3 linked regions of the Canis lupus familiaris genome follow. The protein of the gene in region 2 purifies or fractionates together with the protein of the main gene of each other region. This does not show direct contact. Links are inferred from orthologs where the notes say so. Each region holds a gene or a part of one and is shown on either strand. Other genes may lie near its edges. The genes, in order: IKBKG, PIAS4 and SMAD4.

Evidence for each region.
Region 1: the proteins of PIAS4 (region 2) and IKBKG purify together in Homo sapiens (affinity purification with western blotting; 5 studies listed by BioGRID, with this or other methods). This does not show direct contact. The link is inferred for Canis lupus familiaris from reciprocal best matches to the Homo sapiens genes PIAS4 and IKBKG.
Region 3: the proteins of PIAS4 (region 2) and SMAD4 purify together in Homo sapiens (affinity purification with western blotting, with the first as the bait; 3 studies listed by BioGRID). This does not show direct contact. The link is inferred for Canis lupus familiaris from reciprocal best matches to the Homo sapiens genes PIAS4 and SMAD4.

The regions. Positions count from the first base shown.
Region 1 is NC_049260.1:123,434,344-123,440,229, reverse strand, and holds part of IKBKG (NF-kappa-B essential modulator), read right to left. Parts: intron 5,434-5,886; coding exon 5,281-5,433; intron 4,757-5,280; coding exon 4,660-4,756; intron 3,537-4,659; coding exon 3,393-3,536; intron 3,128-3,392; coding exon 2,985-3,127; intron 2,599-2,984; coding exon 2,537-2,598; intron 2,330-2,536; coding exon 2,187-2,329; 3' UTR 1-2,186. UniProt on the Homo sapiens protein: Regulatory subunit of the IKK core complex which phosphorylates inhibitors of NF-kappa-B thus leading to the dissociation of the inhibitor/NF-kappa-B complex and ultimately the degradation of the inhibitor.
Region 2 is NC_049241.1:55,943,410-55,951,136, forward strand, and holds the start of PIAS4 (E3 SUMO-protein ligase PIAS4), read right to left. Parts: upstream 4,231-7,727; 5' UTR 4,216-4,230; coding exon 4,171-4,215; intron 1,773-4,170; exon of another isoform or gene 1,675-1,772; coding exon 1,248-1,674; intron 1-1,247.
Region 3 is NC_049222.1:24,036,093-24,043,558, reverse strand, and holds the start of SMAD4 (mothers against decapentaplegic homolog 4), read left to right. Parts: upstream 1-2,419; 5' UTR 2,420-2,463; intron 2,464-4,476; exon of another isoform or gene 4,477-4,641; intron 4,642-7,466. Other genes in the region: ELAC1 (zinc phosphodiesterase ELAC protein 1), read left to right, coding at 773-1,021. UniProt on the Homo sapiens protein: In muscle physiology, plays a central role in the balance between atrophy and hypertrophy. When recruited by MSTN, promotes atrophy response via phosphorylated SMAD2/4.

The sequences.
Region 1 (5,886 bases), on a different chromosome or scaffold from region 2:
GAGATGTCCCGAGGAGCGGCAGTCCCCACACCTGCAAGGGCCTGCCCCACACCACACCAGCTTTCCTTCCCACGGAGCGCCAAGTGCCTCTGCAGCCCAGCGGCCACCCTCACCCCAGGGGACAAGCCCCCGCAACGGAGCTGCTGGTCCTGGAGACACCGGTCCTCAACTGCACCTGCCCTAGTCTGTGGGCCCCAGGAGATATCCCTTGTGCCGGGCCAAATGGTGGCCCGAAAGACATATGCATGTCCTAATGCACAGAATTTGTGATTACGACCCTATTTGGGAAAAGTCTTTGTGGATATAATGAAGATAAGGACCTCAAAATGACGTTAACCTAGATGATGGAGGTGGGCCCTAAACCCAGTGACTGGTGTTCTTGTAAGGGACAAGAAGAGAAGATGCAGTCAGGAAAAAGAAGAGGCCACGTAACCACAGAGGCAGAGAACGGAGTGACACGTCTACCGGCCCAGAATGCCACGGGCCACCACCCACGGAGGCTGGGAGACAGGCCTGCAGCTGATCTTTCCCTGAGCGCCTCCAAAAGAAACCAACCCTGCTGTCACCCTGATTTTAGCACCATGAGAGAATGAATTCTTGTTGTTCTAAGCCAAGCTGGTCATTTGTCACAGTGGCCACGGGAAATAAATATATCCCCCGAAACTGAAGTGCTAATGCAGAAAACTGCAGGTCAGGACTGAAACACAGCACCCGGGAGTGGGGAGCCTGTCTGCGCCTTTAACGTTTTCCCAAAGTTCAGTCATCTGCGAGGAGACACCCGGGCTCCGGGAACTGGAAAAGGTGCTCCCGCTGCTGCACACGCCAGGCGCCCCCCGGGCCAGTCTCGTCTCCAGAACGGGCTGCCGGCCAGGCTGTCTTCGGCGACACCCCATTCCCAACCAGGGGAGGCCAGGGCATTCTTCCTCCACTTCTGATGTCCTTTGCTGACAACTGCGGGCTTAACGCCCTTGGCTTTGGCAGCCCTTGGCTTTGGCATCCGAGGAAACAGCCAGAAATCTTGCAAAGCAACAGTAAGGGGCCCTCTAGCGTTCAGAACCTGCCAATTGTCACCAAGTGGCTTCCCTTCACAAGGCTGGGGCATTTGGGGCTGGTGTGGGGAGCAGCATCACAAGCTTCTGCAACGTGATGAAAGGCAGCCACCACACAGAGCAGCAACACTCTCTGGGAGGACAAGAGCACGCAGTGGTGGTCGGTCGGAAAAGGAAAGGAAAAGTGCGCATGTGGAAGCACCTCCCTGTCAAACCATGAGCCCGTCACAACAATGGTAAACCCAAAGCAGGGAAGGGAAGGTGCACAGACGTGGCCACGCAAGGATGACCAACTTCAAGCCCAAAACACACTCACACAAAGTTAGAGGAAGAGAAGACAGTGGCAGTTTCTATCATACACAAGAGCCCATCCCACCAGTGACCAAAGAGCTCAAACCCACTGAGGAACAAAAGACTTACAGCCCAACAGAAAAATGGGCAAAACGTACAAATGAGCCATTAAGAGCAGAACTCGAAAAGGTCCTTCAAGCTCCACAAACACACTCAGGCTCAATAGAGAGCGCCGTGCCCGACAAATGGCAAAAGCCCGCAGGCCGGGCACCCCTCGTGTGGGCAGGGCTCGATGCTCAGCGGTGCTGCTTCTAAGACCCTGACCCAAAGAGACACGTAAGTGACGCCCAAGGATGTTCAGTGCAGCATCGTTTGTGACAGTGAGTGGCGAGGGCCCAAGTGTTCATCTGAAGCTGACTGGTAAAATGGGCCGGCGGTGCAGCCTCCAAATGGAATACCACGCGGCCCACGAGGGTGCTGGGGCCACGGTGTGTGGAAGCGTGGGCGGGAGGCAAGGCTTCTGCCCGTCTTGGCTTGAGAAGTTCTCTGAGAGCCCTGGCCTTGATTCTTGAGTTCCCCAGTGGACGTGGAAACAGAGGGAGCCCCAGGGCAAGCAGTTCAAGCGGACAGAACGAGCAAAAGGAGCAGAGCATCAGGCCTAACCGGGGTTCCATGGGCCCTAAAAGAGGCAAACCAGCAGATGGGGGAGCTGAAGCATAAGGTCCTAGAGCTAGCTCGTGGGGCGCACAGAAGTGGCCTGTTCTGTGTCACCTAGCCCGTAACTCTGGACCGTGCGGCAGGAGAGCTCGCACCGGGCCGTCCTGTGCTGCTTACTGGCAGGCAGCCCTACTCGATGCACTCCATGACGTGTATCTGCAGGGTGTCCATATCAGGGGCCTGATACTGGCACTTGGGGCAGCAGAAGTCCGGTGGCTCCTCGGGGGGGCTTCTCCTCTGGATGGACACGGGCACGTGAAAGGAGGCGTGAACTGGAGAAAGAGAGGAAGCATCAGAGAGGACTGAGACTTGCTAGGCCTGTCGGGTCGGCCACTGGGGTCACCGCCGCTTGCGTCTTCCCTCTCAGCCCGCCCCGTCCCCAGGAGGGGACTGCACTCGGGACAGTGACTCTGGGGAGGCGAGATGGGCCCTTCTCTGGCACCCTGCCCTCTCCATCCCTTCTCCGACCGCTCACTCACCTGGGGTGACGGGTAAGGGAGCCTGGGAGACCTCCACGTGCCGCTTCCTCAGATCTTCAATCCTTTGAGAAGAGAAACTGTCAGATCAAAAGTATGCACGGAGGGGATCCCTGGGTGGCTCAGCGGTTGGGCGCCTGCCTTCGGCCCAGGGCCTGATCCTGGAGTCCCGGGACAGAGTCCCATGTCAGGCGCCCTGCATGGAGCCTGCTTCTCCCTCTGCCTGTGTTTCTGCCTCTCTCTCTCTCTCTCTCTCTTATGAATAAATAAATAAAATCTTTTAAAAAAAAAAGTATGCACGGAGCCAACGGAAGGATGGGGCAGGACAGGGCAGGAGAGGGAGAGCGGAGAGGGAGGGCCGGCTCAGCCTAACCTGACACACGCACGCGGTCACCACCGGGACCCCCGCACCCAGTCCCACCCCCCGTGGGGCGGGCCCTCCGAGGCCCACCTGGCCGACTCCTGACAGCTGGCCTTCAGCCTGCTGTACTCCCTCTGCAGCTGCTCCAGCTGATCCTGCAGGATCTCCTTCTTCTCAGCCAGCTTCTCCCGGGCCTGCCTCTCGGCCTGGAAGTCGGCCTTGTATATATCCGCCTGGCAAAGCCAAGAGAGGGGCACGCCCGCCAGCTGTGGGCCATTCACTGCCTGCTGGGGGATCGGGGACAGCCGGCTCCCACCCTCCCAGAGCCGGGGCACAGAGAGTCACCGCCAAGCGCAGACAGATCAAGGAAGAGCAAGGGGCTCAAAGGGCTTCCGTGAAGCCACCGCAAAATGACACCAGGGACATACATACCAGGGCCCAGGGCCCAGCAGGCCCAGTCGGCTGACCCGCACACGGGCCACAGAGAAGTGCCCTCACCTGAGCCTTTAGCACCGGGACGGTCTCCATCACGATCTTGTGCTGCTCGGCCTCTTCCTTCAGCTTGTCGATCACTTCCTGTTTGGCCACCAGGGCCTCCTCGGCCTGCTGGAGCTGCTGCTTGAGATCCTCCAGCTGCATTCCCTAGGAACGGGCAAGGGGGAACTGCAGGAGCCCAAACTGGCCCGTGGCAGGCACCAGGCTGCCACCAGGCCGGCTGCTGCTCCAGGTGAGAAGAACCAAAAGGAATCAATGAAAGATGGGCCCTGGCTGGCCAACCCTGGAGTGGTGGAGAGCACAAGACGACAGGGCGTGCACGGCACAGGAAAGGCAGAGGCTACAGGGAACCTTTGACATCATGTGGCACAACTTCCCACCCAGGCCAACACTCCCTTCCCAGAATCCCCAGCCGGACAGCCCACCTCTAACCTTTCAGCGGACAGGGCCATCCTCCCTCCTGAGGCCATCCCCTCCACGCTCAGCTGCTCTCCCGTGCTAACAGTCCACCACATGCCGCCACGAAGCTGAGACCTGTGGGTCCTGCCACCCTGCCATCCTACAAAGGTCTGCTGCTCCCTCCCAGATGCCCTCAGCCCCCCATGCACACACGCAGATGCATGCACACACAGACACAGCCACACATGCCAGCAAGCCTTCCTCCTGCAGATCGAAAGGCCACAGTTGTGTAACTAACTCTTCCTGGTGTGGTCGGTGTCAGGTGTTACCCTTACAAGCCTTAGAGATGTCCCCTGGGTACATTCGGGTTTGACAGCATCCTTCTTAAAACGCGATCACTTGACATTGCACCCAGTACAGGTCTGATGAAAACCAACCAGAAAAGGGCTCCCAGCACCACTCCCAGTAGTGTGATGAAGTGTCCCACGCCTCACCTTGGCTCTGGGATCTCTGAGCCAGGAGCCAAGCTGGTGGGAAGGACTGGCCACGGAGACAAGCATGTTCCCAGGCCACACAGAGCGCCGCCAGAGGCCCGGCCCAGGGGACCGTAGGCCACACACAGCACAGCCCTAGGATCCCAGTCTCCCACCACCCGCGCTGAGCTGTCACACTGCGACCTTGACAAAGGTCTACGACAAGTCAAACATCCCCCCCAAAATCAAATTCTGGCAAGTGTTCAAATAAGAACTTGAGCTCCCATGGCCCTAAATCAGTGGCAGCAGGTCCCGAGCTCTGCTGTTTCTAGGCGGCAGGGAGAGGAAGCGAAGCAAAGTCAGTCCTACAGTCCCCGCGACAGCCCCACCATACTCACTCGGTTTCGCTCGCTGCTCACCATGCTGCTCTTGATGTGGTTGTCATACTCCTGGAAGAGCTGGTGATAGGCCACCTGTAGCTGGGCCAGCTTCCGCCTAAGGAAGAGGAGCCTTTGCTGGAGAAACCACCTTGTCCTGACCCCGCTCCACGGTCCTCCTCCTCATGTCCACAGACCAGAAAGGGGCTTGCTTGCAGGGTGCGTTTGTGCCTTCAAGGCCAGCAGCCCTAAGACAGGCTTTACTAAATGCTTAGTATCCCTTTGTTTAAGGCTAACGTTTTTAAAAATAAGAACCGTCTATAATAAAGTGGAACAGTCCTGGGCTCTTCAAAAAAGTGAACTCTGTGAAAAACACAGAGATGTGGGAGAAGTGTTCTAGATTAATGGAGACTCCAAGGCACACCAACGGATGCAATGCAGGGACTGGGACCAGACGCTGTTGCCACGTGGGCCCAAAGGGGGCGTCCGGACGTGGACTGAAGAGCACATACCATCGCATCAGAGATGGATCGTGTAGGTGTGATGACGGTAAGGGACGGCCCGCAGACGGGCTCGCTGACAGGCAGAAAGCCCCCGATGGCCCTCTGGTCTCTGTCCCCCCGGGGGCAGGAAGCCACTCACTTCTCCTCCGAGGCAGCCTGGCGCTCCATGCGCAGGGCCGCCTCCACGCTCTGGCTCTGCATGCGCAGCTGGTCCACCTGCACGCTGTGCTGCTGCTGCAGCGCCTCCCGCTCGCTCTCCAGCTGCCGGGCCTGCTCGCTGGCAGCCCGGGCCCTGGCACGGGGGAAGGGGGAGGTCACGGGAGGGCCTCGGCAGGAGTGGGGGGCAGGGTGTCGGGGCGTTCACAGGATCCCCGCGGCACTGAGGAGGAGCTCGAAGCCCGACGGCCCTGGAAGCTCTGCGGCCTGCAGGCAGAGCGCCGTCACGGGGGCAGGAGTTGCTCAGAACATCCTGCCAACGCACAGCCGATCTGCCGTGAGAAAGGACGTGGCTCTCGGATGTCAGGGGGGCAGGGGGGACACACGGTTACCAGAGATGGGACAACCACAGAGAGCCAGCTTGGGGGCGACTCTTTCCCTCCCAGTCACTGTTCTAGAAGCGGCAAGAAGGCGGCTGACCCACCTCCATGGCTCAGCTGCAGTCCCAAATGCATCCGCCTGCAAGAGGAGCCTCCCCAGCCTGGCTGGGTGACAGCAATGGTGCCACAGCTCGTCTCTTCTCACCAGG
Region 2 (7,727 bases):
GCGTCCCCAGGGAGGGCTTCCATGGGCATCCACCTGGCAGGTTCTCAAGGCAAAGAAGACAAGAATGATGACAAAAGGGGTCTCCAGGACCACACAGGGACCCCATCAAATCCAAGGGGGGCCAAGAAGCCCTCTTACTAGACTTGCCATCTGGAGCCCTGGAGGCGCAGGCAGCTGTGGCTGGTGGGAGCACATGAGGCCGAGGCCAGGCTGACGCCCACCCACCCCACCACTACCACAGATGCCGGAGAAAGACCAGGGGCCCATCCATGTGCAGCACACCATCAACCTTGGGAGTCAGAGAATTTCTCTATGGCAGACAGGAACCACAGGGCCCTGGCATTGTCTCCTACACTCCTGGCGGTGTCCCACCTCTTGGGAGCACAGCTAGCCATTCCCTAACCAGCTGGCCCATGGTGACCAGACTGCACCCCACTGGCCAAGGTTACTCCGAAGGCCGCCTACCAGGAAACAAGCCTTTTGCAGGAGGAAGGGAGATCAGATCCAACTTCCAGCCCCTCTGCCACAGGGAGTTAGAGCACACAAGCCAGCATCCCCAGTGGCCCCCAGAGATGCCTCCCTCCGATGGTCCAGGCCTGGCCCACAACACAGAGCTGTTCTGTGTGACTGATAGAGTGTGGCAGTTAGGCCACTTCCAAGCTGAGGTCATGGAGACGACTTCTAGCTGCTTCTGGCTTCTCCCTGTTCTACATCATTCACTCTCAAGTGCGCACACTAACTCTCCCACACCATCACTGGTTCCAAAGGAAGCAAGCCATCATTCCACGCTGTCACGATGCTCAAGCAGTCTATGGAACCCACATGGCAAGAAGTGGGGTCTCTGCTGACAGCCAGCAAGAAACCAAGACCTGCCAGCAAGCATGGGAGTGGGTGGCCCCCAGCCCTAGTCGGGCCTTCAGATGAGACCTGATGAGTGACCGTGTATCAGGTTGTATCAGGACCACTCCACTAAGTCACTCCCAAGTTCTAACCCTCACAAGCTGAGAGCAGATGAGTGCCTGTGGTGCTAAGCTACTGAGATTCAGGGTACTCATGAGACGACTCACCAGGTTGCTGATAGATCCAGAGGAGGCTCTTGTGCTTCCTGGGAAGGAAAGCCCTCCCACCCCCACCCCTTGGCCCTCACTGCTTCCCAGGAGACACTCTGGGTCAGTGACTGTGGCTGCCCAGAGGCACTGCGAGAGTGCAGGTCGGGGCCCCCCACCCCCAGGTGGTGGCAGACTCACCCAGCTCTGTAGGCTTCAGCAATTCATCCAGCATGTTAAAGAAGGGAAGCTTCACCAGACGCACTTCCGGCTTGAGGGTCTTGGTGGGCAAGCGTCCAAGTCCATTCAAGTACTTCCCATAGAGCACGGGGTAGTCAATGTTGGGGCCCGAGAGGGGAGTCCTGGGCACCGTGCCAGCCCGATCGTAGGTTGAGTGCATGGTCAGGGGGTCCAGGGGCCGGTGGGGCTGGGGGACAGGCTCTGAGCTCTTCTTGGCGTAGCGCGTTTCGTACAGCTCCTTGATTTTCTTGAACAGCTCGGGGCTACAGTCAAACTGGACCAGCTGGAGGGCCCGGGTGACAAGTTCGTGTTTAAGTCCGCTCTTACTCCGGCCAACAAAACCCAGGAGCATCTGAAGATCGGAGACTCGGAAACTCATCACCATGTTCTGGGGAAGAGCAACCACAGATACACACGCTCAGAGGAGACACAGCCAGATTCGGGGACTGCCAATGGGGCAAGGGGCTTCGTGGAGCCACCTGGGCCCTAAACGGGGGGGACAGCGAAAGGAGAGCCCATCAGGTGCTGCCTGGCCCTCCCTCCAGACCCCCTTCACTCTGGTGGGCAGGAGCAGGAGCCCAGGAGGAGGAGGAGGCGTAGGCACCAGGCCCACCAGCCCAGGCTCAGTCCCACTTCCATGACCTTGCTCACGCTGCCCGCTCACCCTTCCCTATGATGCCCCCTCCCAGCTTAACCCTGCTCCCCTCCACCTCTTCCTCCTCAAACCTTCCTCAGCACTGCCAACGCAGCAAAAGCTTCTGACCGCCCCCCCAACACACACCGCTGCCTTCTATTTTAAGTTCTCTTTTCCCATCTTCAAGCCTGAAAGCATCCCCAGGGCAGGAACTGGGAATCTTCCTTTACCCGTAAACAGCCTCAGCCACTCCCTAGCCAAGAACACTAATGGCCTCTGTGACCCTCAGTCTCTTCGTCAGGATGACAGGACCCACTTCGTTGGGATGTGGGAAGGACCAGATGAGGTAACATACGGAAAGCAGAGAAAATCAACGTTGGCCACAAACACATTTTCCCTTCAGTCTGGAGTATGGTAGCCACGACTTAATACCAATCACTCGCCAGGAACTGAGCTGCACATGTGATCATATACTCAACGCTGATTCTTATGACAATCCTGCTGGGCTGTGGGGAGCTCCACATGACAGCCAAGATTCAAACCTAGGCCTGACTCCAAAGCCAGGGGTAATTTCTCTCTATTGCACTAGGGGTGTCCACATGGGGCTGAGCACTGGTGAACATCAAACGTCTGCTGATCATTCCAGAAGGCCTTCTCTGCCTCGACCCTGTGGACGTTGGGACTGGATTGTTCTCTGGGGCGGGGCCATCCTGGGCACTGTTGGGTACTCAGCAGCATCCCTGACCTCCACCCACTCGATGCCAGGAACTCTCCCCAAGCTCCCGTGGTGATAATGACAAAGGTCCCCCAGACACTGCCAAGTGTGCCCTGGGAACAGTTTCGGCCCATTTAGAACCACGGGTCTGAGGAGAAGGCTTTGGGAATACAGCAGCCACGGAGGCTGTGAGCTGTGGCAAAGTGATGAAAGAGGTCTAGCAGAGTCTGGCACTTACTACCTGGCAGGGTCCCTCCGACTAAATCAAACCAAACACGAGAGCTCAGCTGACGCTGATGTTTTCTTTGGGGCGGCCTGACCATAGCCTGGCCTCGGGGAGACTCTGGGACGCCAAGGGGACTGACACTCCGCAATATGCTACATAAGCAAAGTATCCTTGAAGGATGGATAGGCCGGCAGGGTTTCAGGGCCACCCACACTGAGCCCCAAAGCTGGCCTGCAATGAATGAAATGTGGTGGGGAAAAAGAAACTTCCAGGGGAATGGGGAAAACAGGTACAAGTGATGAAGGTGTATATGGGAAGCTGGCGGGCACAGGGCAGGACAGCACCCAAGGAAACCAATGAAGCCCTTAAATTCAACTTGAGAGTCTGACAGTTAGAGGTGGGTGGGAACCCTGCCAGGGTGTTTACGTAGCAGTCTCACTGCCAGAAGGCTCTGGTGTTTCCCGTTTCCTGGCTGTTGAAGGGTGAGGCGTGTAGTCTGAGGGCAGCACCAGGACTCAGGAGCTCTGGGTTCCTAGGCAACCCCAGGTCCTCTGTAGGGTCCCTCTGCACTTTGGGCATCTCATCTACCCATGCAAGATGTGAGCCCTCTAAGATTTCGGCAGCCGTCCACCAGGTTCCTGCTGATAGCAGAGAGGCTGTCAAGGCACAAAATGACAGATACACACATGTGGGGCTGCCCATCCTGCCTGCAAAATCTCAAGGGGGAGCCTTTTCCCGCTGCAGGGCCTTCCTCCTATTCCCACACTACAGATGTGGAGCATCCGCCACACACCAAGCACAAGGGCTCTTTGCGGCCACGAATCTCACAAGGGTCCACGCCCACCAGGCAGGTTAGAAAACCGAGGCCCCGTGAAAAACGTGGCTGGCCCAGAGCCTCCCCACGTGTCAGTGGCAGGAGCCATCAGAGTCCCAAGGGCACTTCCTTCCACTCCCACCCAGCTATCTGGGGGCCTGGGGACCCCTCACATCCCAGCACACCTCCTGCCTTGGGACTTAAGCAATCTGTAGGCTCTCAGAGAGCCCAGAATGCTTACAAAAACACAAAGACTTCACCTTCCTTGGCCTGACTTCCTACCTTGAGCAGAGAAAATAGGCTTGCAGACAAGATGTTTCTTCTGGAAGAGGCCCAAGGCCTTGGAGGGGAGAGGAGACGTCATGTGGAAGCTGAGTGCCCTCCACGGAGCTAAAGGCAGGTGGGCTCGGTGTGCCGAGTCTGACCACAACACATCTTCTACCATCACCCCGCCCCTGGGAGCACCCTGCCCCCGCCATGGCCCAGCCCTTTCACCAGGTTGGACATCCGGAGCTGCCGCACAAGCATCCTGGGGCACATCCCTCAAGCTGCCATATGTTCACGACTCGGATTTCTCAGCAGCTGCCACCACCAAGGAGCCTGCCCTTGACACTGGGAGGGGGGACAGTGTGAGAGGGGCACAAACATTCAGGAAGAAGCCCCAAGCACTTTGCAAATCACTTCCTGCCATGGCTTCATCCTACCCGCCTGCCCCTCAGATCTGTGTTTATAAACAGCACCAGGCCCCCACGGCTTCCAGAGTCTCAACTCTGGGCTTGTTTGGAGCTATGTGGAAAAACATCAGCCTGGATAGAGCTGCCGCGCTTAACTTAACCCGTCTCGGGTATAGGTTCCTCTGAATGTGGCGGAAAGTTAAGGTCCTTATCGCCAGGAAATGGGAGATCTGTGCAAAATGCTCCCATCTCAAGGGGTTCCCAGACTGCCTCTTCTCCCCAAGCCCTCACAGGGGCCTCAGGCAAAGGCGGATTTCCAAGTTTACCAACAAGCCCCTGTCATTCTCCCTGAGGACCAGCCTGTTTTGAACTCCAAAAGACAAAATCTCCAGCCCCTGTTACTACAAAAGGCTAGGTAAGCACCTAAAAGAAGAGAACACTTCAACGACACCTAAGACACTCCACAGTGGCAGCCACAGACTAAAGAAAGGCGCCCGAGGCTCGGAGCGAGCTGTGTCACTGAACAGAGGCTCACGTTCTAGAGAACTTGAAAAAAGGGTCAACTTGATTTAATTGGGGTGGGGGCCCCAGCCACCGGAGGGTCAAGTAGAGTTCATGAGATCATATTTCAAGGCCCTGGATGGTATAAAAGAATTCAGTCCCTACCGTCTGGCTGGGACTGGGACCGGGTGGGGGGTGGGGTACACCCAGAGTCACAGCCCTATGGGACGGCTTTATTTGAGGGCTCCGGGGGTCCTCAAGCCCACTGGCTGCTACCTTGGGCATGCAGAGTTCAGACTTCCACATCTCCAGGGCAAGTCCCAATTTCTCAAAACCCTACAGAAGGGCAGAGTGTAGTACAGGCATTGAGGGGGACGCTCCAGGGGGAAGGGAACTGCATTTCAGATCTCCGCAGGAAGAGAAGGGAGATGGAGGGAGAGAGAGGAACAGGAGAAAGAAAACATTTACAGGTCAGGACCTGGGGAGGGAAGATCAGTGGGAGGGGAAAAGGCGGAGCCTCTGTCCAGGAAAGGTCCGGTCTCCCACCTCCCGGCCACCAAAGGCCTGGAGTAAACTTCTCAGGGAGGAAGGGAACAACCCCACTGTAGTGTGGGGCAAGGTACCTGGAAGACAGTACCCCTGGAACAGAAATGGCCTCTATGGGATGTGGAACCTGGACCCCAAAATGGAGCATGAGGGAGAAGCACTAGAAGCACTAAAGAGAGAGGGTGGAGAAGCACTCTCCATGAACCAACACAAGAAACCAGCAGAAGGGAAGAGGCAGCCTCAGAAGCCAGAGTTGGGGCGTATAAAGGGATCTAAAGTAGGTTCTGGGGAGCTGCGTAGACACAGTACCACCTCAGTAGAAGCACTTGGGAGTATAAAGGAAACAGCCGGCACAGGGTCTAATTCTGTTAGCGTGAAGTTGAGAGACCCCAGGAGCAGAGTCCAAAATCTCACAAACGCTGTCCCGAGAGTAAAAACGGGGAGCAAGGCAGAGCCCAGGACCCAAGACCGAGGAGACGGGCACGGAGGAAGGCTCTGAACAGGGAACAGGGGCAGGGCTCCATCCCAGGCGGGAGAGCAAACTCGAGAGACCCGGTGCCCACTCCGAGGGCGAGCGAGACGGTGTCGGGAGGGGGGCGGGGCTCCGGGACCAACGCGGGAGCCGAAGCAGGGGGGCGACCTCCAGCCCGGGGTACAAACCCCCAAGCGGACGCGGCGTCTGGGGGGTGCTTCGGGACCCCGGCCCGTCACCCCGGGCGCGGGAAGCGGCGGCACAAGGGGCACGGGGCCCTTCTGAGCAGGGAGTCGCCAAGCCCGGCCGGCCTGCTGGGCAGGGAGGCTGAGACCCAGGGGCCGACCCTCGCTGCCACGGGGGGCGGCGAGGCGAACACGCTCCCCCAGGCCAAAGAGCAGGAGCCCGGCTCGGGGCGCGGAGGGGACGAGCAGCCCAGCCCGTCAGGCTGTCCGGGAGGCGCGGCCCTGCGCCCAGGCTCCGGGAGACTCGCCCCCAACCCCTCGGGCGGGCGGGGGGGCGACCCCGCCTCACGCCCGGGAACCAACCCCCAGCGCGGAGGCTGGGGTAAGGTTTGGGGGGCCCCGCCCCCGGCCTCCCCGCCCCCCGCCCGCACCCGGCGCGCCAGGGCCAGGGGCGGGCGAGGGGGCCGGGCGGCGAACCGCAAGCGGGCCGCGCCGCGGGGCCCCGGGCGGAAGGCGCAGACCTCCGCCCGCCGCCCGGCCCCCGCCCCTTCTCCCGCCCGCCCGGGCCGGCGCCGCCGCCGCTCACTCACTTTGGCCTCCACCAGCTCCGCCGCCATCTTGGCCACCAGCGTCCCCCGCGCCGGGAGCCCCCAGCCGTCGCGTCACGTGACCGCCCGCCACTCGCGGGCGGGGCCGCGGCGGCGGCCAATTAGCACCGCGCGCCCTCCTGCCCCCCCCCGGCGCGCGCTGCCCTGCAGTGCGCAGGCGCGTGCGACCGCCGCCCGGGCCCCGGGCCAATCAGGACGGCCCGACGCTGCCCCCCCACCCCCCCCCACCCCCCCAGCGCCTCCCTCGCGGCGACCACGCCCACCCCTGCCGGCGTCTGGCTACTTAAAGGGATACGCGTCACGCACAGGTGGGGGCGGGCGGTGGGGCGGGAAGGGGACAACAATGCAGCCAGGTGCGCGGCCCCCGCGCTGGGCCGCCGGCCAGGTGCGCGCCCGGACGCCCGGCGGCGTCGGGGGAGGGGCCGGGGCTCCGGCGCAGCGGCCTCCGGCGCGTGCAGCGGGGAGCCCGTCCGCGCGGCCCGGTGCAGCCCCGGCGGGCCCGGCGCCCCGCGCGCTCACATCCGGGTCCCGGCGCGGCGCCCCCCGGCTGGCCCAGGGCCGGGCCGCGAGGACCTCCCCCCGCCCGCTTCCCGCGGCTCGCGCTGCCCCGCCCCCGCGGGCGACCCTCGCGCGGGTCCCGCCTCCCCGCCCGCTGCAACCTTTGGAATCGGCGCCGCCTGGAACCTCCCCTGCTCTAGAGCCTTCCTGGGCTCCCCAGCGCCCGCCGGCAGCGCTGCTGCAACTCGCCTGTGCCGAAGGCGGGAGGCGACAGGACACCCCTGCGTGCCCCGGCGGCGCCCCAGCGTGCGGCTCTGATGCGGGGGTCGTGAGTTCCAGCCCCACGTTGGGGAGCGGAGGGGGGGGGCGAGCTTACTTAGAAATAATAATGCTGACATCTAAAAAAAAAATTTTTTTTCCAAAAAAATGTATGTTCCAGGGCTCATACCCTGAGTTCATGATTCTCAGGAAAGGAATTAAGAGACATTTAGGGAAGCACCCCCCAGAACACTCCAAATATGTTAGAGTAATTTTTTTTATATATATAAAATGCAAGAGGAAAAAAAAA
Region 3 (7,466 bases), on a different chromosome or scaffold from region 2:
GCTCTGATGTGGCCCTGCATGGCCCCTGCTTCCTGGCATCCGAGCCCTTATCTGGGCTCCTTCCCTTGAGTGAGGTGGGACCTGTGAGGTGCCTCTGGCCAACAGAGCACGGCAGAGGTGACTAGGTGTGTGGGGTCATGCACACATGGTTATGTCACATATGGTCGTTACCAGTGTGTTACATGGAGACTCTCCCCTTGTGGCTTTGACGAGGCAACTGCCATCCTGTAAGCCTCCCTGGGGAGGGGGCCACCTGCAGCTGACAGTGAGCAAGGGACTAAGGCCTTGGGTCCTGCAGCCGGCAGTCTGGAGGCGCCTCCTTTCCCTGCCAAGCTCTGGCCTGTGATCCTGCAGAGGACCCAGCTAAGCCGCGCTTGAACTCCCGACCCATACGACCTGTCAACTAATAAATGCGTGTTGTGTTAAGCTGCTAAATGTGTGGTCAAATCGTTACACAGCAAGAAATAGGTAACACGGATGGGAACGAAGAGGCTCAGTTACAAGGGTGTTGCTGTGGCGTAGGTGGGGCTGGAGCTCAGGCCCCGAGATAAAGACCTAAGCTGCGATCAAGAGTCAGACGCTCAGCCAGCTGAGCCACCCAGGTGCCGGAGAGCCATGTTACTTTTAACTCCGTCTGAGGTAGAAGTAGGAACTTAGGAGCCACCTGCTGCTCTGGTACCCGACCACCCAGTTAAACCTTCCTTCAGTTTTGCTGATAGCAAAGAACTGGGAACCACCTGACTCACAAAGAATTTATAACCCGTTCATTCAGGTCACTCGCTCTTTCATCAGACGCCAGTTTTTGAATTGTCCCTCTGAATTGTCCTGGGGGTTTTACATCTGGAGTCGGGGTGCCCGCGCGACTGGATTTCAGCTAAGGTCACCATCTCAGGGTTGTGGGGTCGAGCCCCGCATCGGGTCCCACACTCAACACGTCGTCCGCTTGGGCTTCTCTCTCTCTCTCTCCCTCTGCTTCCCCTCCCATCCCCACATTCCCTCTTACTCTAAAATAAAAAAGTAAATAAATACATCTTGAGTTGATGCACCTGCATGAGAATGTCACTTTATTCCGACAGATGGGAGAATGACAGTTTTGGAAGAGGATGCTCTGTCCTCAGGTGACTTCTCAAGCTGAGCCATTGTGTTAAGTAGTGCACTAGCAACGGGAGCTCTCTAAGTGAATTCCCTTAAAACTAGTCTTGGAAAGTCTTCCTGGACCCAGGAGCAGGGAACACGGGAGACGACGGCGGCGGGACACGCAGGAGTGCGGGTTGCCGTGGTGCGGGGGGGGGGGGCAGCTCGGGAACGGGCGGGATGCCGAGGGGATAGCAGGGGGGGACACCGTGGGGACAGCCAGGCAGGACAGCTTGGGAACGGGCGGGGACAGCGGGGCGAGGACAGCAGGGAGGGGACGGGGACGGGGGCGGGGACGGGGGTGGAGAGCAGGGACGGGGGGGCGGGGCGGGGGCGGGGCGGGGGCGGGGCCGGGACGCCGTGGGGACAGCGGGCGGGGCCGGCGCGGGGACGGGCGTACGGAGGGTCTGAGCGCTTCCTCGCCACTAGCTTGCGTCGGGCTCCCCACCCCCGGCAGGGGAAGTTTTTTCTAGGTGGTAAAAAATAAAACAAAAATTCGAAAGTATGCAACTCGTACGTGTTTTCTGAAACTTTTAAAAATAAAAGAAATGCGCGCATCTTGGAAAAGTTGAGATAAGTAGGTATGCACTGCGAAGCCGAGTTTCGCCCCACAGGTGGCCTCAACAGGTGCGCGGCAGGTCCTTGAGCGCCGCCCCCATCGCAGTGTCCCCCGAGCCCCGTCCACTGGCCTCCGTGACCCGCGGCCACACTCCCGCACGGGCTGCCGGTCCGCGCGCCGCGGAGCCGGGAGGGGGCCCGGCAGGTGTCCGCCCTCGGGGCCGCCCGCCGCCGGGCCGCGCATCGCGCCTGCGCCCCGCGCCTGCGCACAACCCCCCCGCCGGCGCTCCGCGGGGGGCGGGGCCGCGGGAGAGGGAGCTGCGGGGGCACGGGCCGAGGCCTGCAGTTACCCGGATGTGGTCGCCGTGCGCGCATGCTCCGTGGCCTCCCGACAAGTTGGCAGCAACAACACGGCCCTGGTCGTCGTCGCCGCTGCGCTAGCGGAGCGGCTCGGGTGGCGGGGCCCGCGTTGGCGCCCGCGCGCCGTCCTCGGGAGGCCTTGCCCGCCGGTCCTTCAGCGGCGCGGCCGCCCGGCGGCGGGAGCGGCTAGGGGAGCCGGGCGCCCCGCGACCGAGGGCCCCCCCCGCGGGGCGGCCCGGGAGCTCGAGGCGGCCGGCGGGCGGCGGCGGCGGCGGCGGCGAGGAGGGGCGGGGGCGCGGGGGGAGCGGTGGCCCGCGGACGGGCGGCGGCGGCGGCGGCGGCGGCGGCGGCGGCGGCGGCGGCGGCGGCGGCGGCGGCGGCGGCGGCGGCGGCGGCGGCGGCGGAGCCCAGGTAACGGCCCCGTGCCCTCCCCTTCCCCGGCCGGGCCCGCGCCCCCCCACCCCCGGGCTTCCCCGCCCCGGGGCGGGCTCGGGCGGCCGGTGCGTGCGTGTGCGCGTGCGCGTGCGTGTGCGCGGGGGGCGGGGCGGGGGCCGGGGGGCGGGGGGCCTCGCGCCTCGCGTCCCGGGCCCAGCGCCCCCGCGCCTCCGCGCCCCCGCGCCCGCCGCGGCTCCCCTGCCGTCGCCGTCGGTCTTTGTTGCTCCGAGGACTTGCGCCCGCCGCCCCCGCCGAGCGCGCCCGAAGTTTCCCGTCTCGGGGACACGTCGGTGCCGCCTTTGTCCTCCACTTTCCCTTCCTGCCGGGGCCGCTCCGGCGCTCGCCTCGGCCTGCGCTGGGCGCTCTCGCGGCTCGGGAGCGGGCGGGCGGCGGGGGGGAGCCCTCCCGCTGACCTGCGCGCGCCCCTCCCCCGCACCCCTCCATCCCTCCCCCCTCTCCTGATGAGCACCCGGCCGCCCCCCCAGCCTCCATCCCTCCACCTCTCCACCCCGCCCCTCCACTCCACCTCTCACCCCCCCATCCCTCCACCCCCCACCCTTCCACCCCTCCACCCCTCAATCCTTCCCCTAATCAGCTCCCGGCCGCCCCCCACCCCACCCCACCCCACCCCACCCCACCCCACTCCCAATGAAAACCCAAGGACCCAGTTTCTCCCGCTGCTGGGACTGCGAGCGCTGGGCGCGAGGCTCTAGGACGGAGGGCGGTGGCTCCATCACTTGCCCCCAAAACTGAGGTTATCATTTCTCAGGGAAGATTTTTCAAAGAAATGGGCGTGTTGGGTTAACTTGAAAGGTGGCTTTGGGGGCCTGGAGAGGTGTCCGACGGCTCTGCTGGTGGTGATGCGCAGCACCTCCCCCCCCCCCCCCCAAAGCCCTGGTGAAAGATTCTTTTTCACGAACACATTTTATTTCCGATGAATTCACTTTGGACCCAGTTCCTTGGTGCCTTTTGCGCTGTACTCTGAGGTGGGGCTGAGGGCCCTTCGGGGTCGTGGACGCGGCGCAGCGGGCTCCTGGGCATCTCCTGACCGCGAGCCAGGGTGCGGAGGAGCTGGGGTGCAGAGGCTCGGTAGGGGCCCCGACCTGCCGCAGGGAACACCCCTTTGAGTCCCTGCAGGGAGCACCCCCTTGGGTCCCTGCAGGGAGTGTCCTCTTGAGTCTCCACAGGGAGCACCCTAGTCTTCGCAGGGAGCACCCCCTTGAGTCCCCGCGAGGAGCACCTCCTTGAGTGTCCTCTTGAGTCCCCGTGGGGAGCGCCCCCTTGAGTCCCCGCAGGGAGCACCCCCTTGAGTCCCTGCAGGGAGTGTCCTCTTGAGTCTCCGTGGGGAGCACCCCCTTGAGTCCCCGCAAGGAGCACTCTAGTCTTTGCAGGGAGCACCCTAGTCTTCGCAGGGAGCACTCTAGTCTTCTCAGGGAGCGCCCCTTGAGTCTCAGCAGCAGTCTCTGTGGATCTTAAAAAAGTAGGTTGAGTAGTTTTTGTTGGAACAGACCGTGGAGTCTTAAGAGGAAATAAGGAAATCCACGCTTTGAAAAAGTAACGGGATTTAGGACGCAGCTGGGTGGGTGGGCCGCGGTGCCCGCGCCTGCCTTCCTGCACCTGCGCCGTGTTGCCCGCGAGCCTCTGAGCCTCCGAGGCGTGAGGACTTTTCCGTTAAGGACTTCTTATTTTTTCTTCTGAAAAGTTCTGATATGCCGAGTATGTGACATTTCAAGTTGTAAATGATGTGATTGACCTCTTAAAATATGACGTCCTGCTGCTGTTTCATGAGCTGTGACTTTGTTTCCCTAAACGGGTTTGTTACCAGAACCAACAGGACTCGCAGGGTTTTGGGGTCTAAAGGGGGTGATGAATTGTGTAGGTTTAAGTTGTCGGAATTAAACCTAAGAGCCTTTCTAGAGAAAATGGATAGAACCTTTCGTGGGTCTGTTAATAGAAGTGGCTTTTTCTTTGCTTTCCAGGTTTTTGGGTGAGGTTGCTTGAAGAGGCACTGCATCTTCTTAATTCTTTGATTTTCCGAGTAGGAGGGCCTGAGTGGAAGCTTCTCTGTTTAGCTGAGTGCCCGCCTTGTAAATCTCGAGCTTAGAAAAGAATTGCACGTCAGTTTGAGATTTGATGGAAATTTGGGCTGAGAAGGTGAATTTGAAATTTTTACATGGATCATTGGCCTTTTCTAATGGCTTTGCTGCTTGAAGCAATGCTGCTTACACTACGAAGCAGCAAATCTTCTAAAAACCTATGTATGTTTTATTCTGAGGCTACATTTTGGTTGAGCTGTTTATTTGTGTCTGAATTGTTTTTCTGCATTCCCCTTTAGACACCCCCCCCCCCCCATATTAAAGAGAAAAAAGCATTAAACTAATTTATGCTGCCCAGTCACACTCCAGCCCTCTGGCTTGGAAGCTGTTTTTTTCTGATTGAGCTGGTGTTATAACGTCATTAGACACTATCCTAATTGAGCTGTGAATTGCTGTGGCCTCTACTAGGGCTCTTAACCCTGCAGGATCTGTCCCGTTCATTTAAAACGCATTTTTAGTCCTGTCTAAAATTTTGCCTATTTTGTTGAGTACCTTTTTTTATGTTTAAAGTTATTTCAGTTCTATATTGTTCCCCTCTAGCTCATGCCTAACTTTTTCCCATCTTCCATCCAGTGATTTTGATAGTAAACAAGGCTTTAAACATCTTATGTTGGCCGTTTCGGTGCTCATTGTACATGTTTTGATTTCCTTTTTTTCTAGAAGATTGTGTGGTTAGGCAGAAATTTTTGTTTTGCTTAAGCGATGATGAAATGTTGACTCTGAATTGATGCTTAATCATGTGTAAAACTAACAACTAAAACAGTTCCGTTGATTTCATTATTTTCTACACTAAATGAAAGTTAAAGGACTTGGATCAGCGTAACACAGAATATAATATAACTGTTAAACTACCAAATTTTGGGCTTTTTACTCAACAGTTGATGAAGATTTGGTTGTTTTAAAAAGAAATTCAAACAGTTGATAAATATGTGTAGATATTTGAGTAACTTTCAGTATGATACTGCTTGCATCATAATATGACAAAACATATGCTTGGTAATGAGTCAGATTTAGAATTTTTGGATTTTATCCCTCATTTTAAAATGTGTAATTTTGGTGATGGGAAATGTGGCTGAATTCCAGTTTCTCAGGAACAAGGTATTTTAGGTTGTGTCACCTTGACATTATTTTCTGGTGTGATTGGCATCCAGGAAAATTTGTATTAACTATGAGAGTGGATAGAAACTAGGGTAGTGCTTACTTACATAAAACTAAGGTGGTAAGTGGTCAGAATCTTATAATTTAAGTCTTGATTATTTGCTACTGCAAATTATATCGTAGGTCAGATAGATAGCTACCAGAGACAGATTGTAAAGACTGTCTATTACGACATCTTAAAGTTGGTGATAATTGTAAATATATTTAAGTTCAAAGACACTATTTATTTACATTTTAAATGAAAATTGTTTGCACTTTGGGAAACTTGTACCTGTGTGGGATTCATGTTTGTTTGTTTGTTTGTTTAAGATTTTTATTTATTCATGAGAAAGAGAGGGGCAGAGACACAGGCCGAGTGAGAAGCAGGCTCCCTGCAGGGAGCCTGATGGGATCTATCCATCTATCTATCCCAGGATCCCGGAATCATGAGCTGAGCCAAAGGCAGTCACTCAGTCGCTGAGCCATCCAGGCGTCCCCGGAATTCATCTTTTTATTACTTTTTTACTCCCAAGGTTGAGGACAATGGTTTTCAACCTTGGCTGCATTTTGAAATCTTCTGGGAAGCTTTGCAAAATCTGGTGGCTGGATCCCACCTCCAGAAATTGTGATTCAGTGGGCCTGGGATGCAGCAAGATCAGAATTGAAGGTGGTTTAGCTATTGGGGTCCTGTAACTTTATATTTTGAACTATTTCTCTTGTGTTGGCTTTACATCGTTTAATACAATGATGTACATATGTACTGTGTAGTCATCTCACATCTAACTTAGTGGATCTCCTGAAGGTATTGCCACATTTGTCTTGCTTCATTGTTTGTCCCTTCATCTTCATTTGTTCCTCTCTCCCTTCTTTTCTCCTTTATTCATTTTTCATTTCATTTGAAATGTCTGGTAGCAGGTTTTAGGGACTTGTATTTCCCATGATAAGTTGGTATAGCATTACTATTCTAAATAGGAAGTTGATCTTTTTGTTTTTGTTTTTTTTAAAGTATTCTAAAAAGTTTACTTGGGCTCCTTTTGGAGACTTAGGACTTTAAGTGTCAAAATTAGCATCTAAACTCCAATGGAATTTGGTCTTCAAAGGGGGTTAATCTGCTTGGAAACCATAAAATTTTCTAGGCACCTGTTAACTGGTCACTTCACTGGTTCCTGAGAGGCAAGTTGCATTTAGCTTTTGGTGTCAGGAGTTAACTTACCCCCTGTGAGATGTTGCTCAGCAAGCCCAACTAGTTAGCATTTCTTTGGAAATCATCTAAGGAGAATATATTCAGTTTTCCATTTACATCAGCTGAAGTAGTTCCCAAGTGCTGGTTGAAGAGTAGTTGTATGGAGCATCTCTGGAAGAGTTTTGTTTTTCTTTTTTTCTTTTTTTTAATTTTTCTTTCCCCACATTTCATTCCAACACACATTCAGAGTGGGAATTGAATGGAGGAGGCATGGGAATCTTTATTATTGTTATTTTTATTTTATTTTATTTTATTTTTAAAGATTTTTTTAAATTTATTTATTCATGAGAGACACAGAGAGCGAGAGAGAGAGGCAGAGACAGGGCAGAGGGAGAAGCAGGCTCCATTCACGAAGCCCGATGTGGGATTCGATCCCAGGTCTCTGGGATCACGCCCAGAGCCAAAGGCAGACACTCAACCGCTGAGCCACCCCGGTGTCCCTATTGTTATTTTTAAAGTACTTCCTGATTTTAAAGGCTTTGGATATTTTACCCTTATTGCTT